Callithrix jacchus: one gene and its partner. The protein of the gene in region 2 purifies or fractionates together with the protein of the main gene of each other region. This does not show direct contact. Links are inferred from orthologs where the notes say so. Each region holds a gene or a part of one and is shown on either strand. Other genes may lie near its edges.

Evidence for each region.
Region 1: the proteins of SP1 (region 2) and SMAD4 purify together in Homo sapiens (affinity purification with western blotting; 4 studies listed by BioGRID and IntAct, with this or other methods). This does not show direct contact. The link is inferred for Callithrix jacchus from reciprocal best matches to the Homo sapiens genes SP1 and SMAD4.

What each region holds. Positions count from the first base shown.
Region 1 is NC_133514.1:94,253,604-94,263,983, reverse strand, and holds the start of SMAD4 (mothers against decapentaplegic homolog 4), read right to left. Parts: upstream 5,436-10,380; 5' UTR 5,030-5,435; intron 1-5,029. UniProt on the Homo sapiens protein: In muscle physiology, plays a central role in the balance between atrophy and hypertrophy. When recruited by MSTN, promotes atrophy response via phosphorylated SMAD2/4.
Region 2 is NC_133510.1:66,168,782-66,172,932, forward strand, and holds the start of SP1 (transcription factor Sp1), read right to left. Parts: upstream 2,801-4,151; 5' UTR 2,767-2,800; coding exon of another isoform or gene 2,760-2,766; 5' UTR 2,573-2,759; coding exon 2,389-2,572; intron 2,317-2,388; exon of another isoform or gene 1,871-2,316; intron 1,402-1,870; coding exon 1,250-1,401; intron 951-1,249; coding exon 1-950. UniProt on the Homo sapiens protein: Transcription factor that can activate or repress transcription in response to physiological and pathological stimuli.

The sequences.
Region 1 (10,380 bases), on a different chromosome or scaffold from region 2:
CAGAGGACCCTAATGGCTCAATCACTGTGGAGGGCTAACCTGGCTGCACCCCAGACCAACCTAATCACATTAATTTCTGGGGCTGCAATTCAGGCATCAGTATTTTGTAAAACTCCCAAAGATATCTAAAAGTACAGCCAAGACTGAAAACAACTGGCCAGGCATGGTGGCTCATGCCTGTAATCCCAGCACCTTTGAGAGGTCGAGGTGGGAGGATCACTTGAACCCAAGAGTTCAAGACCAGCCTGGGCAACACAGGGAGATCCTGTCTCTACAAAAAATTTTCAAAAAAATTAGACAGGTGTGATGCTGCATGCCTGTAGTTCCAGCTACCAGGGAGGTTGAGGTGGGACTGCTTGAGCCTGGGAGGTAAGGCTGCAGTCAACTATGATTGCAATACTCTAGGGCTGGGGCACTGAGCAAGATGAAAAGAAAAAGAAAAAAAAAAGAAGAGAAAGGGAGAGAGAAAAAAAGAGAAAGAAAGAGAAAGAGAGGGAGAGGGAGAAGGAGAGGAGAGACCATCGCCCTAAACCTTGGGAGTAAAAAAGGCAATAAAAAGATAAATTCGGCTGAGCGAGATGGCTCCCACCTATAGTCCCAGCACTTTGGGAGGCTGAGGCCGGCAGATCACCTAAGGTCAGGAGGAGTTCAAGACCAGCCTGGCCAACATGGTGAAATCCCGTTTCCCCCGCTAAAAATGCAAAAATTAGCCAGGCGTGGTGGCAGGTGCTTGTAAACCCAGCTACTTGGGAGGGTGAGGCAGAAAAATGGCTTGAATCCGGGAGGCAGAGGTTCCAGTGAGCTCAGATCATACCACTGCACTCCAGCCTGGGGAACAAGAGCAAGACTTTGTCTCAAAATAAGATAAATTCAACACATTTACAAGTTTTCCAAACTGCAAAAAATTCTCATTTGAAATGTAAATAATGAAATACAGTCTTTGAGTCAAAAGGTCTTTACCATTATCGCCAATTTTAAGCTGATTAAAATGTTAACAACAGACCCTCTTTATGATTGGTCTTTGATACTTACCTGTCTGATCTATGATACAATTTGCAGTAGCAACTTATCGAGACTTAGATTATAAGCACCTTATAAATTATAAGAATCCAACTATCTACCATCTTAGTTTTACATATGTAAGCACTACCCTAGGTTTCACTCACTTTCAGAGTTAAAAACAAATATTCCCGGATGCCAAATACACCACGTAAGTGTCAAGGTGACACAACCTAAAATACTTTGTTCCTGAGAAACTGGATTCAGTCCAATTTCCCATCACCAAATTACACATTTTAGAGAGAAAAAAAATCCAAAAATTCTAAATCTGACTTATGATCAAGTGTATGCTTGGCATATGCAAACAGCATCACTCTACAAGTAGCTCAAATGAATACATCTAGATATATTTGTCAACTGTTTCAATTTCTCATTTTGCAACAATTGAGACTTCATCAACTGTTGAACAAAAAGTCCAAAATTTGATATACAGAACTGTATTAAATGCTGTGTTATGGCCACGCACAGAGGTTTACACCTGTAATCCCAGCACTTTGGGAGGCCAAAGTGGGTGGATCACCTGAGGTCAAGAGTTCAAGACCAGCCTGACCAACGTGGTGAAACCCTGTCTCTACTAAAAATACAAAAATTTGCCAGGTGCTGTGGTGGCACATGCCCGTAATCCCAGCTACTCGGGAGGCTGAGGCAGAAGAACTGCTTGAACCTGGGAGGCGGAGGTTGCAGTGAGCTGAGATTGTACCACTGGACTCCAGCCTGGAATCTCCATCTCAGATGGAGCAAGCCTCCATCTCAAAAACAAACAAATAGAGCAAGCCTCCATTTCAAAAAAAAAAGAAGAAGAAATGCTGTGTTATTCTGGTCTGTCCTTTAACTGTAGATAACAAAACATTTTTTGTCAGGTTACTTTTATACACAATTAACAGTCATCTCAGAGCCACCATCCATCATCGATCTAAGCAAAAAAAAAAAAAAAAATTATTCGTAACTACACAGTCTTCCAGGTCAACAACACCAACAAAAAGAAATCCAAACATATATAATGAGTGCTGAAATGCCGATTAAAAGATGCTTAAAGAACCAGTCACTCTAAAAAAAAAAAAAATCACTGAATTAAAAATGGAAAAAAGGTTAGGTATGAACTAGAGAGGGACAAAATGAACTAAATTTAAACATCAGCAAAACCTGTTTTCACCAAAATAGACAAAAATTTAGACAAGCCTAAATATGCATTTTACATATAATGAACCCTGCAGATTCTATAGGGTTAACCGCCCTAGTAGAGGCCTCAGTAATTCACACCTCAATTAGAATGGTGTCTAATGATGTTACTATAACACTGGCTCAATCAGAAAGAAACTGCTTCCAAGTGGGAGAGCTGCAGTGTGACTGGGCAGCACAAATTAGGTTAATGCTTGCTCCTTAATTTGGGGGGAAAAGAAAAACTGAAGAGGAACACAGAAAAGGAATTCACACACAATCAATCGCTCGACTAAAATGTAGCTTAAGAGGCCTTAAAATAGAAATTCCATTTGACCCAGCAATCCCATTACTGGGTATATATCCAAAGGACTATAAATCGTTCTACTATAAGGACACATGCACATGCATGTTCATTGCAGCACTGTTTACAATAGCAAAGACCTGGAACCAACCCAAATGCCCATCGATGATAGACTGGATTGGGAAAATCTGGCACATATACACCATGGAATATTATGCAGCAATCAAAAATGATGAGTTCGTGTCATTTGTAGGGACATGGATGAATCTGGAGAACATCATTCTCAGCAAACTGACACAAGAACAGAAAATGAAATAACGCATGTTCTCACTCATAGGTGGGTGACGAAAAATGAGAACACATGGACACAGGGAAGGGAGTACTAAACACTGGGGTCTATTGGGGCAATAGGGAAGGGACGGGGGCGGGGCAGCTGGGGAGGGATAGCCTGGGGAGAAATGCCAAATGTGGGTGAAGGGGAGGAAGGCAGCAAAACACACTGCCATGTGTGTACCTATGCAATTGTCTTGCATGTTCTGCACATGTACCCCAAAACCTAAAATGCAATAAAAAAAAAAAAGAAAATGAAGCACAAGTTTTCTAAAATAAGATTTGCTGCCTCCTAGTATAGGCAGAATTGCTTCAAGCAGCAAAACTATCATAAAAAGTCAATCATCCACATAAAACTTATTCCAAAATATTTCAAAGTGAAATATTTCTCAGCACAAATTTTCATTAAGTCTGAAAAACAGATTTGCAATTTGTTTTTTTCTAAACTCAAGATTTACACTGAAGGCACTGACCTAAACAGAGCCATACACCCCCACTTCAAAAATAAAAAACCCAAGATGCCATACTTTTTAAAAACTCACCCGAAAACCTGGAAAGCAAGGAAAAAGCCACTTCTATTAATAAAGTTAAATATTGTAACAATTTTATCTAAAGAAGCTTTTGGTTTTAATTCCAACAACTTAAGCCTACATAATTCATCACCATCTTTAGATCTAAAGCTACTCCAAATTATAAATGCTTGGCCTATCTCTATTACATTTGTTCTTTAAGGAACCCATTTAAGTATACAAAATCATGACAGCATTATGGAAGAAACATTAATTTTAAAAATCCGTGTTTTTAAATGTTAATCATTTACAGTTTAGAATGTTATCTACTAATCACATCAGAACTTTCCAATATAGACAGAATAAGTCCTCAGCATAAAAAAAAAGTTGCACTTTAGAATTTCCTATATTTCAACTAAAAAATATATATCTAGTCTCGGCAGAGTATGGCAAAGTAATTTATGAAATCCACCATAAAAATTATTCAAATGCCATGTTCTAAACCTAATTACAACATTATGCATTTCATTTTTTTGAGACTCTAATAAATGTTTTTTGCCAGCAAAAAGTAGTGAATCTAATTCTTAAATACCCGAGTAACCAAGCTGCTACTAAGACTAAAAGGATTCTAATTCCGACAAAAGTCAAAAGGTTATTAACAAAAATTAGCTAAGATTGTATGTCTGCAGAAAGTCAACTCAGTCTAATTCCCTTATTATCTTGTTATATTTATTATTCCTAAGTAACTGGCAATTTCACCTTAAACTACGGTGCAAAAACTAAATGCATTAAGAAAGTAATTTGGAAATAAATGTGTGTGTGAGTGTGTGTGTGTGTGTGTGTGCGCGCGCGCGCTTTATTAAAAACAAATGTACTTAGGTTTTTGAGGGAAACAGCTATTAATATTCAGCAGGGCTTTGTAAAACCTCTGCACCAGCCAATAAACCTTTCAGGTTAACTAAACATACTCGTGTCTTTGAAAATCTAGTTTGAGAGATCCTAACAACAGTTTGGGGCAAGTGATGGAGCCACCGCCCTCCACCCTACACCCATTTCACTCTCAGTACACGTAGTGCTAACAGTAAGATCAACTGTGCCTTTTATTAGGGAGCATGTTATATAGGGGGAAGAAGGGGTTCAGTTAGGTGCTAAGAATGTGTCCGGCATACCACCGTCACTCTCAGTACTCAAAAACTAAACATATCAAAGACAGAAGCGTAAACTGGCATTGACACGACTAGGAAGAGAAAGTAAAGGACAAAGAGAAAACAGAAATTGGCTGGAGAAAATAAATTAAGACAAACAATTTACAACTTTCATTTAGACCGTAAGGCAACACACTCCAGCCGACCCAACGCGCTCAGCCCGGGCGACCAAGAAACTACTCCAGAACAACAAAGAGGAGCGGCGGCCGCGGCAGGAGTCCCGTCCGAGTTTAACTTGATTCTCGCACGAGCTGCTAGCGGAGCTGGGAGCTGGAGGGACGCGAGGCACCGCTACCCTGCATTCACCCAGCCCGCCCGGGCCGGCTCGTCAGGTAGCCACGGTCGCCCTCCCAGCGGATCCGCGCGCTCCCCGCCGCCGCCGGGAGCCCGCCCCGGGGCGGAGAAGCCGCGGGCGGGGTGCGCGGGCCAGGCCGGGGGAAGGGGAGGGGACATGGCGCGGTTACCTGGGCTCGGGCGGTGGCGAGGGGAGTCCGCTCTCCCGCCGCTGCTGGTCCGCGGACGCTCCGGGCCCGTCGCTTTCGCCCGCGGCCCGGAGAGCTCCTCGGCCCCCGCCCCGAGGCTTCCCGGCCAGGCCGCCTCTCCTCAGCGCTGCGCCGCTGCCCGCGCCGACCGGACCGCCTCGAGCTCCCGGGCAGCCCCGCGGCGGGGGGCCTCTCTCGCGAGGCACCCGGCTTCCCTCACCCGCTCCCACCCGCTGGGCGACTGCGGAGCCGAGGGGAGGGCGAGAAAGGCCTCCCGTTGAGAGCAGGAGGGCGCGAACGCAGGCTCCGCCACCCGAGCCGCTCCGTTACCGCAGCGGCGACGACGAGCAGGGCCGTGTTGTTGCTGCCAACTTGTCGAGAGAACACTGAGCATGCGCGCGCGGGGACCACATCCGGGTAATTTCAGGGTTTGGCCCTTTTCCCCCGCAGCTTTCCTTTCTCCCGGCTGCCCCCGCCTTCCGTCCCCCGCCCCCTGTGAAGGGGAGGGTCGCTCTGCGCAGGCGCCTGCCGGGCAGCGCCAGCCGGCGGGAGGCTCAGAGTCCCGGCCTCGGCCTGGGCCTGGGCCTGGGCCGCGATGCGGGCGGAGGGCGAAGGCCTGCTTGAGGGAGTGGTCGCCAGGGACACTGGCATCTCTTTGCAAAAAAGTACCCAAGCTGCGCAGGAGAGCTCGGCGTTGAGTGGGCGTCCAGTAAGTGTTTATAAACAGTGATTAGCCCGGCCTTTGTTGGTTTTTTGTTTTGTTTGGTGTTGAGGACCTGCGTAGGCACAAAAATTGGCCTTCAAGAGCCAGTCTACAGCTCGGAGGAGAACGTGGCTAGGTTGTAGCAGTTCACTTCGGTAAGAAACAGACGCTGGCCGCACCTTCCCTCTCCGGCAGCCCCGAATCACGAGCCCCAGAGGTGTTTAAACTCGAGAGACGCACAGGACAGTCAAGGAATCCCTTACTGAAGAGCCTTGCCAGGCGTTCCAAGTGTGGGTGGTTTTGTTGGAGGAGATACAGAGCACTCTCGGAGCTGGAGGGGAACTTCGACTCCTACTACACACCTATTAACTAGGTTATCTGTTTGTTCGGTGGGGAAAGGCATAGGCTCTGCTTTTGGCTTTATATTTCTTTTATTTCATTTTTTACAAGACGCATGCATTTCTTTTTTTAATTTAAAACGCATTAATGATATATTTTCACCAAGCAGGAACTACTTTGGGACTAGTTTTAGTCCCTCCAAAACTAATGATGAGCCAGTTCTAAAGTCATTTCTTAGGTCACGTAGCCCAGAACTCTCTACACCCACCGCATGCCTTCGCCACATAGATCCTCTGTGCCTCATTCTGTCCTCCACATCCTGGGCCATTTCCCCCCCACTTTTTTTTTTCTTTTAATGCCAGAAAGCCCCTAAAGCTTCAAACTGGTGTTCTCTTACCACTGGGGTTTATGAAGACCAGTTTTAAGGGATTTCATTTCCATATCTTCCGTTGCTATATGTTCTGTTTTCTAAAATTGCCCAGCTTGAGAAGGGAGCTAAGGACACAGCACCTGTTTTCAAAACTACCCTTCTCCCTCCCACCTTACAAAAGAAAGTCAGAATTCTTACTCATTATTAAGGTACACTGGGTCAATGCAGAACCTCCCCAGCAATCCAAAAGGGGCAATTCAAATATCGGTATCTATGCTGAGAAAGTAAATGACCTTAGGTGAAGGGTATTAAATTATTTTGCAAGTCGGATAGTTTTCCAATCTTTTCTGTCAACAAAACTGAAAGTAGATCTGTCAGCTAATAGATTACTAAACATGATTTAATAATAGTTCAATATGTGATTCTTAGGTAATACACTTCAGAAGAAGTTTTTTAAAAGTTGAGACATTGTTATAACTAAACTTCTTCCATTCCGTCTGTATTAGTTATCTATTGCTGTATAACAATGTCAGCACAAATATAGAAGCTTAAAACAACACATATTTATGATCTTACAGTTTCTGTGGGTCAGGAGACAAGGCATGGCTTAGCTGGGTCCTCTACAAAGTGAGGCTGGAACAAAGGATCCGTTTCCAAGCTCATGTGGTTGTTGGCATCATTCAGTTCCTTGCAGGCTGCAGGACTGAGGGCCTCAGTACCTTACAGGCTGTTGGCTGGAGACCCCCTCTGTTCCTTGCCATGTGGTCCTCTCCATAGGGAAGCTAACAATATGGCAGCTTGCTTCTTCAAAGCCAGCAATGGGGAGAGTCTCAGCAAGACACTGGTTTCAATCTTATGTAACATCATCACATACACTGTGTCACTCATACCCTGTCACTTTTGCCATACGTTGCTGGCCAGAAGCAAATCACAGGCACCACCTACACTGCCAAGGGGAAGGAGACACACAAAGGCATGAACACCAGGAGGTGGGGATCATATGGGGCTTCTTTAGATTCAGTCTACAATGCTATCTATTTATTTAGGCAAATGGCATTCTCTATAAGCTCAGCCTCTTCTCAGAATTTCTCTTCAGGTTCCCTTCACCTTTTTACTTAAGGGAAACCCCAGCTTTGCCGTGGAACACTGCTTCTCCTTCCACCTCTCAAGTAGTGGCAACTGTGTTTTCAGCTTTCAGCCTCTCAGTGCCTGGAAGTGGGGTAGGTTTCCTTCTTGCTTCTCAACATTGCTTTCAAACCATCCCCCTCCTCCTCTAAACCAGCAGCTTTAAATCTTGCTATCCAGTACCTCTATCGCTGACCTCACTCCCCTTCATCTCTGCACAATTTGCTCCTGTCAGTCACTCTAATGCCACTTCTGTCCTAGTGCTAGGTGGTTATAAGATCTTCCTAGTACCCTGGCCTCTCAGTTCCTTTTCTTCTTCTCCAGGGATCTCTCATTGCTTCAATTTTGTGATCTTACAGTTGCTCTGAGTCAGGAATCAAGGCATGGGTTAGCTGTGTCCTCTACAAAGTGAGGCTGGGACAGAGGATCCGCTTCCATGCTCATGTGGTTGTTGGCAACATTCAGTTCCTTGCAGGCTGCAGGGCTGAGGGCCTCAGTCTTTTCCTGGCTATTGGCTGGAGACCCTCGCTGTTCACCATGAACCTCAGGTAGCCCCTTAATGCTGTTCAGCAGTTCTGTCATACATCCCTGCTCCACTCTTCTGGATTTTGTACCTTCTCTGTCCTCTAACTTGCACATACCCTAACTCAGCCACTTACTCCCATGGTCATAATCACATTAGCCTTATCAAACTGCAACTTCTTCATTATCTCGGTTTCAAACATCTCACACCCCATTCACCACCTCAGTCTTCCAGGTCACTCCCTGTAGTACTCTAATTCCAACAATTCTTGAAGCCTCATATCCGCTCTCACCCAGCCTCAACCCCTGGCCAATCACAATCACTCTTATACATGCCCTCAGCCCCATTGCCTTTCTCTCCCTTTGTTGTGCTTGCTTGTTTGCAAAGCCATGATCCTGATTCAAGCTAGCACTCATGCATCTGAATGTGACTAGGGAAGAACACAATCTCACTGAGTACTTTCACTTTAATTTCATCACTATGAAGCTCAGGTAGACCCTTTGTGCTGTCCAGCAATTCTACTTCCCTCCTCCATTCTTCTGGATTTTGTACCTTCTCTGTTTAACTTGCATATCCTCCCCTCGATCATCCTCAATTACTACCCTTGTTTGAGAAAATTGAAGCAATAAGAGAAAAACTTCCACAGAATCTCAACATCACCCACACCCATATACCAGCCTCTACTCTGCCTTTCCCATCCTCACATGGTTGAATTGCCATGCTCCTAGCTAAAGGAGCATTGTCACCAAGATACAGATCAAGGTCCTATCTTGACTAATCAAGATCCTCACTGTCACTTCAGCAATTATCCCCCTATTCTATATTATCAATATTTCTCTACTGGGTCATTCTGGTAAGCTTACAAGCAGCTGTGATTTTTCCAGTCCTACAAATTCTTCTCTTTAACCTATATCTACTGTCAGCTATCACCCATTTCTCTAATTCCTTTGCAACGAAGCTTCTAAAAGAGTTTTCTATGCTTTGTCTGCAGTTTTCCCATTCCACAACAGCAGAATACATACCATACAACACCATTTATATAAAGCTCAAAAACATGTCATGCATGATACATATGTTAAGACTCCATATATATGTAGTAGAATCATTACACACCAGGTTACATACGTGGCATATTATAGATCATCAGCTGAGTGGTAGGCTCCCACCCTCTCTTAAACTCCATTCATGCTTTTGTCCTTACCACTCTATCAAAACTATTCTTATGAAGGCCAAAAATGAACTTCACATTGGCTAAACCCAATGATCTAGTCTCAGTTCTCATCTTGATTGATGTATCTGTAACAGCTGACACAGCTAATCACTTAATTCACTTTTTTTAACCATATCCTCTTGGTTTTCCTCCTTCATTGATGGTTCCTTCTTCCCTGTCTTCTTTGCTGGGTTCCATCTCTTCTTTCAGACCCCTTAATCAGGGCTCATTCTTTGAATTCTTTTTTTTTTATTTTTGAGACAGAGTCTGTTGCCCAGGCTGGAGTGCAGTGGTGCAATCTCGGCTCACTGCTACCTCCACCTCCCAGATTCAAGCAATTCTCCCCACTTCAACCTCCCAAGTAGCCGGGATCACAGGTGCCCACAACCACACCTGGCCCATTTTTAGTAGAAACAGGGTTTCACCATATTGGCCAGGCTGGTCTCCAACTCCTGACCTCAGGTGATCTGCCTGCCTCAGCCTCCCTAAGTGCTGGGATTGCAGGTGTGAGCCTCCCACACCCAGTCCCTTGAACTCTTTTTAATCTGTACTCATTTCCTTGATGTCACCAGTCTCCTGACTTTCAATACCAACTAAGATATATGATATCATCATATATGATGACAACCTCCTAAATTTATATATCCAGCTCAGACCTCTTACCTGAACTCCAGATTCTGATATCCTCAAACATGTCACAAACTGAGCAATATTCTTTCTCAAACTCGTTGAACCCACTAGCTTTCCTCTCATTTGATAACTATTGTTCAAGTTGCTCAGACCAAAAACCCTGAGTAGTTTGACTTTAATTTCATCACCATGAACCTCAAGTAAATCCTTGTGCTGTCCAACAATTGTGGACTCCCTTGTTTTCTCACACCCATGTCTAGTCCACAGTCGGAGCCACCTCCACTACTACTCCCTGGTCTGAGCCACCATCATCTCATCTTTGGATTCCTCTTCTAAAAGCTCTCTCTATTCTCATGCTTGCCTATTCCCAACATGATAGCTTGAGTGATCCTTTTAAAATGTAAGTCACATGTCTTCTGTCTGCTTAAATTCC
Region 2 (4,151 bases):
TGGATGTTCAGAGCATCAGACCCCTGCAGCCCACTGACCCTCTGGGGTGTCTGGCCTTGAGAGTTGGTCCCTGATGATCCACTGGGAGCAAAGTTCATAATTCCCATGTTGCTGGTGGTAGTAGTAGTTGAGTAGCTATTGGCATTGGTGAAAAAGGAGCTGGAACTGGGTTGTGATGACACCAAGCTGGCAGAACTGATGGTAGTCCCTGAGGTGACAGGCTGTGAGCCACTCTCCTGGGACCCAGAGCTGCTGATCGTGACTGCCTGAGAGCTCGGAGTCAAGGTAGCTGCAGAAACGCTGTTGACAGGTAGCAAGGTGATGTTCCCATTCAGGGCCACTGGTACATTGGTCACATACTGAGTCTGTCCTGAGAGTACATTATTAGCTAGGCCTTGGAGGGGGACAGCCTGCTGGAGTAGGTTTGGCATAGCAGCAATAATGTTGCCTCCACTTCCTCGATTTGTGATAATCTGTTGGTTTGCACCTGGTATGATCTGTATTTGACCAGAACCATCCTGCTGCACTTGGGTCCCAGTGGCAGCAAATTGCAGCTGCTGCCCATCAACAGTCTGGAACTGTGGGATTACTTGATACTGAATGTTAGGCATCACTCCAGGTAGTCCTGTCAGAACTTGCTGGTTCTGTAAGTTGGGAGTGGCAGCCACAACATACTGCCCACCAGAGACTGTGCGATTCTTGGAAGATTCATTGCCACTGCTGCCATTGGTACTGTTGCCACTCTGTTCCTTTGAGGTAGGGGTAGCCCCAGAGGAGGAAGAGATGATCTGCCAGCCATTGGCACCCTGTGAAAGTTGTGTGGCTGTGAGGTCAAGCTCACCTGTTCCCCCTGACTGACTTGGGCCCTGGGAGTTGTTGCTGTTCTCATTGGGTGACTCAATTCTGCTGCAAGTTGCTGCCAGCAGAGCCAAAGGGGATGGCTGGGACTCCTGGCCGAAAATAAGGGAGAGGAAAGGAGTTAGTGACACCCAGCTGCCAGCCTAGGGGGCAGTATACAACAAATAAAAAGCAACGTAGTGCAGACAAGGAGCAAAAAGCAGAAACAAAAAGCTGACCTATCTGTATTGCTGAAACTCCTGTCTTTGGGGATCTCCAATCTCTGTGCTTACTTCCTTACCTATAAACTGGTTTAGTCCCTCCCTAAAAAGCTTTCTGTGAAGAGTAAGGCAACTATCTAATAATATTTACATCCTCTGAACACCTTCCCCACTCTGTGATGATCACTTACCTGCCCTCCTCCTCCAGTGCTGCTGCTACTGCCTGTGCTGCTGCTGCGAGCCTGTGAAAAGGCACCACCATTACCATTGCCCCCATTATTGCCACCAACTCCTTTCTCAATCTTCACCACAGCTGTCATTTCATCCATGGAGTGATCTTGGTCTGAAAGTATTAAAAAACAAGCAACTTAAACTGGAGGGAAGAAAAGAAGTAGGAAGGATAAAAGGAGGCTATGATGAAACAGCAATGACTAACAGGAAGGCAAAAGGCGCCAGTATAAAGAAAATGGATTAGAGGACAGAGGGGAGCTGCAGGGCATGCAAGACATGAAATAGGCTCAATGGTGCCAAAAGTGGGCCTCACTTCTCCCTTGCACAAAATTAAACTAAGAAAACATTCAAAAAGTGCTTTGGGAATAGGAAATGTGAAGGATGGTAGGCATGTTGAAAGAGTTTCAAAATGAGAAAAAGTATCCTGGGGGAAACAAAAGAAAAGAACAGGTAAGGCAAAAAACAACATGTGGGTGGATGGAAAGCTTGCTAAAATTAAGGTTAAAAGAGATGGAAAGGCCGGGCGCAATGGCTCACGCCTGTAGTCCCAGCACTTTGGGAGGCCAAGGCAGGCAGATCACCTGAGGTCGAGAGTTCAAGACCAGCCTGACCAACATGGAGAAACCCTGTCTCTACTAAAAACACAAATTAGCCGGGCGTGGTGGCGTATCCCTGGAATCTCAGCTACTCGGGAGGCTGAGGCAGGAGAATCACTTGAACCTGGGAGGCAGAGGTTGCAGTGAGCCCAGATCTCACCATTGCACTCCAGCCTAGGAAACAAAAGCAAAACTCCAACTCAAAAAAAAAAAAAAGAAAAAGAAATGGAGAAAGAAAAATCCAAGTGTGAAAAGTAACAAGAGGAGAGTGAAAAGGGAGGGAAAAAAAAGTAAAAAGTGTGAGTAGGAAAGCATTTGTGAATACTGATAAGGGACTAAAGGGGTCTACGGATTAGTAATCAGGAGGTTTCGGGGCGGAGGGCGGGCCCTCAGGGAAAGGGCGGTTTCGGGGTGAGGGGCGTGGAAAGGGCGGGACGGTGGGGGGGAGGCGAAGGGAAATCTACGGAAAGTGGGGGGAGGAGGGCCTTGGAGCAGGGGCGGACCAGGCCGGCGGTTGGCCCGGGCGGGGCCTTCACTGCTCGGGCCGCCCCCGCGGCTCCAGCCCACGGCGGGAGGAGCCTTAGGCTGTCGGCCGAATAGTGGGGGGTAAGGCCCGTCCCCCGTGGCCGGGGCGGGCAGGGGGCGGGCGAGGCCACGCTGCCCCCTCCCCCGGGGCGGGCGGCCCATCCCCCTCCTCCTCGGAGGCCCCGTCACTGCCCCGTCTCCCTCCCTTCCCTCCGCCCCGGGCGGGACCTAGGCCTCCGCCGCCGCCTCCCGCCCGCCCCCCCCTCCCGGCGGGGATCGCCCGGTCGGCCCTCGCGCGCGCCCCCTCATTCCCCTCCCACCCCTAAGCTTGGAGTGGACTCATCCTTACCGCTCATGGTGGCAGCTGAGGGACAAGCTCAAGGGGGTCCTGTCGGGGGGGGTTGGGGGGGGCCGGGAAAAACGCGGACGCTGACGAGGCAAGCGAACCCGGACCGGACAGGGAGGGGGGGGGTAAGGAGGAGGGAGCAGCGCGCCACAAGCCCAACCTAGGCTCCGCCCCTTCGCTGCTGCCCCGCCCAATGAGGGAGGGGGAAAGGAGGGACTTGCAGAAGAAAGACGGTGAGATAATCCAATGGCAAGAAAAGCTTGCTCTCTAAGGCGTGTATGACTAAGTTGCGTGCCTGGTGTCCGCCCAAAAAGACTGTCCTCTCAGTATTAAAAGCCAATGAAAGATGCAGGAAGTGAAGATGGGCGGGAACTGAAAGTGATTGGCTTCAAAAAAAACCAGTCAACCGGCAGGCGGGCTCCCTGAGACGTAGGGATAGGGAAAACTTTGATAGGAATGACAGAACAACGGCCAACCAGAGTCCGGGATGTGCTTGGGCAAAATCCTAGTGGGAGGAGAGGTAAGAAGTAGGCAGGAATATAATAGGATGAAGCTGATTAAAACCAATCAGAAATCAGGCGGGCAGCCAGGGAAGTTATGATTGGATTAAGACTGAAAAGAGACAGGAAAGGACGCATATTGACGTGAACTAAAAGCCAATTAAACGCCGAATTAACTCTGAGGGCGGAAACTTGGAGCGGGCAGAGGAGAATTGGCTGCTCCCTCAGTTATTCAATCCAATGAGGAGACGAAGTAAGCCTGGCACCGCCTCCTAGTTGGCCAATGGGAGTTACTGGAGCCGCCCATCATGAGGGAGGGAAGAGGGCTGTGCCAAGAGGAGACCGTCGCCATATTGGCCCTCTTCGGGGGACGTCGTTGCATGTATTTAGTTGGACGCTTTAGCGGAGCCCTGCGGCTCAACAGGCGTTGGAGCCAAGGCAATCGGCGCGCAGTTCTGCCTCAACACCAGGACTTGTTTGAGTCTTCATTTAACTGTCCCTATGAATAACGTACCTCTCAAATCTTAAACCCTCCCGGGGCGGGCAGACAGGCAGTCAGATGCATCATCTCGCCGCAAGCCTTGCTAGTGCAGGCGGGAGATCTGGGAACAGCGCTCACCAAATAAGTTAATACTGAGCTGACCAATATGCAGAGTCTCCGTAAGAGTCGAGAAAACGCCATTTTATTAAGTTCCCCCAGACAAAGGCTCTAACCACTTACGGCTGGTTAACTTTTCAAGAGCTTTGAGGCTAAGGTGCAAATAAGTCACTTCCATTTTTCTCCCTTAATAGTAAATACCGCCTGTGCATAAAGCAAGATAGCTGAGCTCCTGCTTTTTGCAATCACGAAGGTTAAGAAACTTTACTGCAGGCACCTGGATTTCCGGCCTCCACT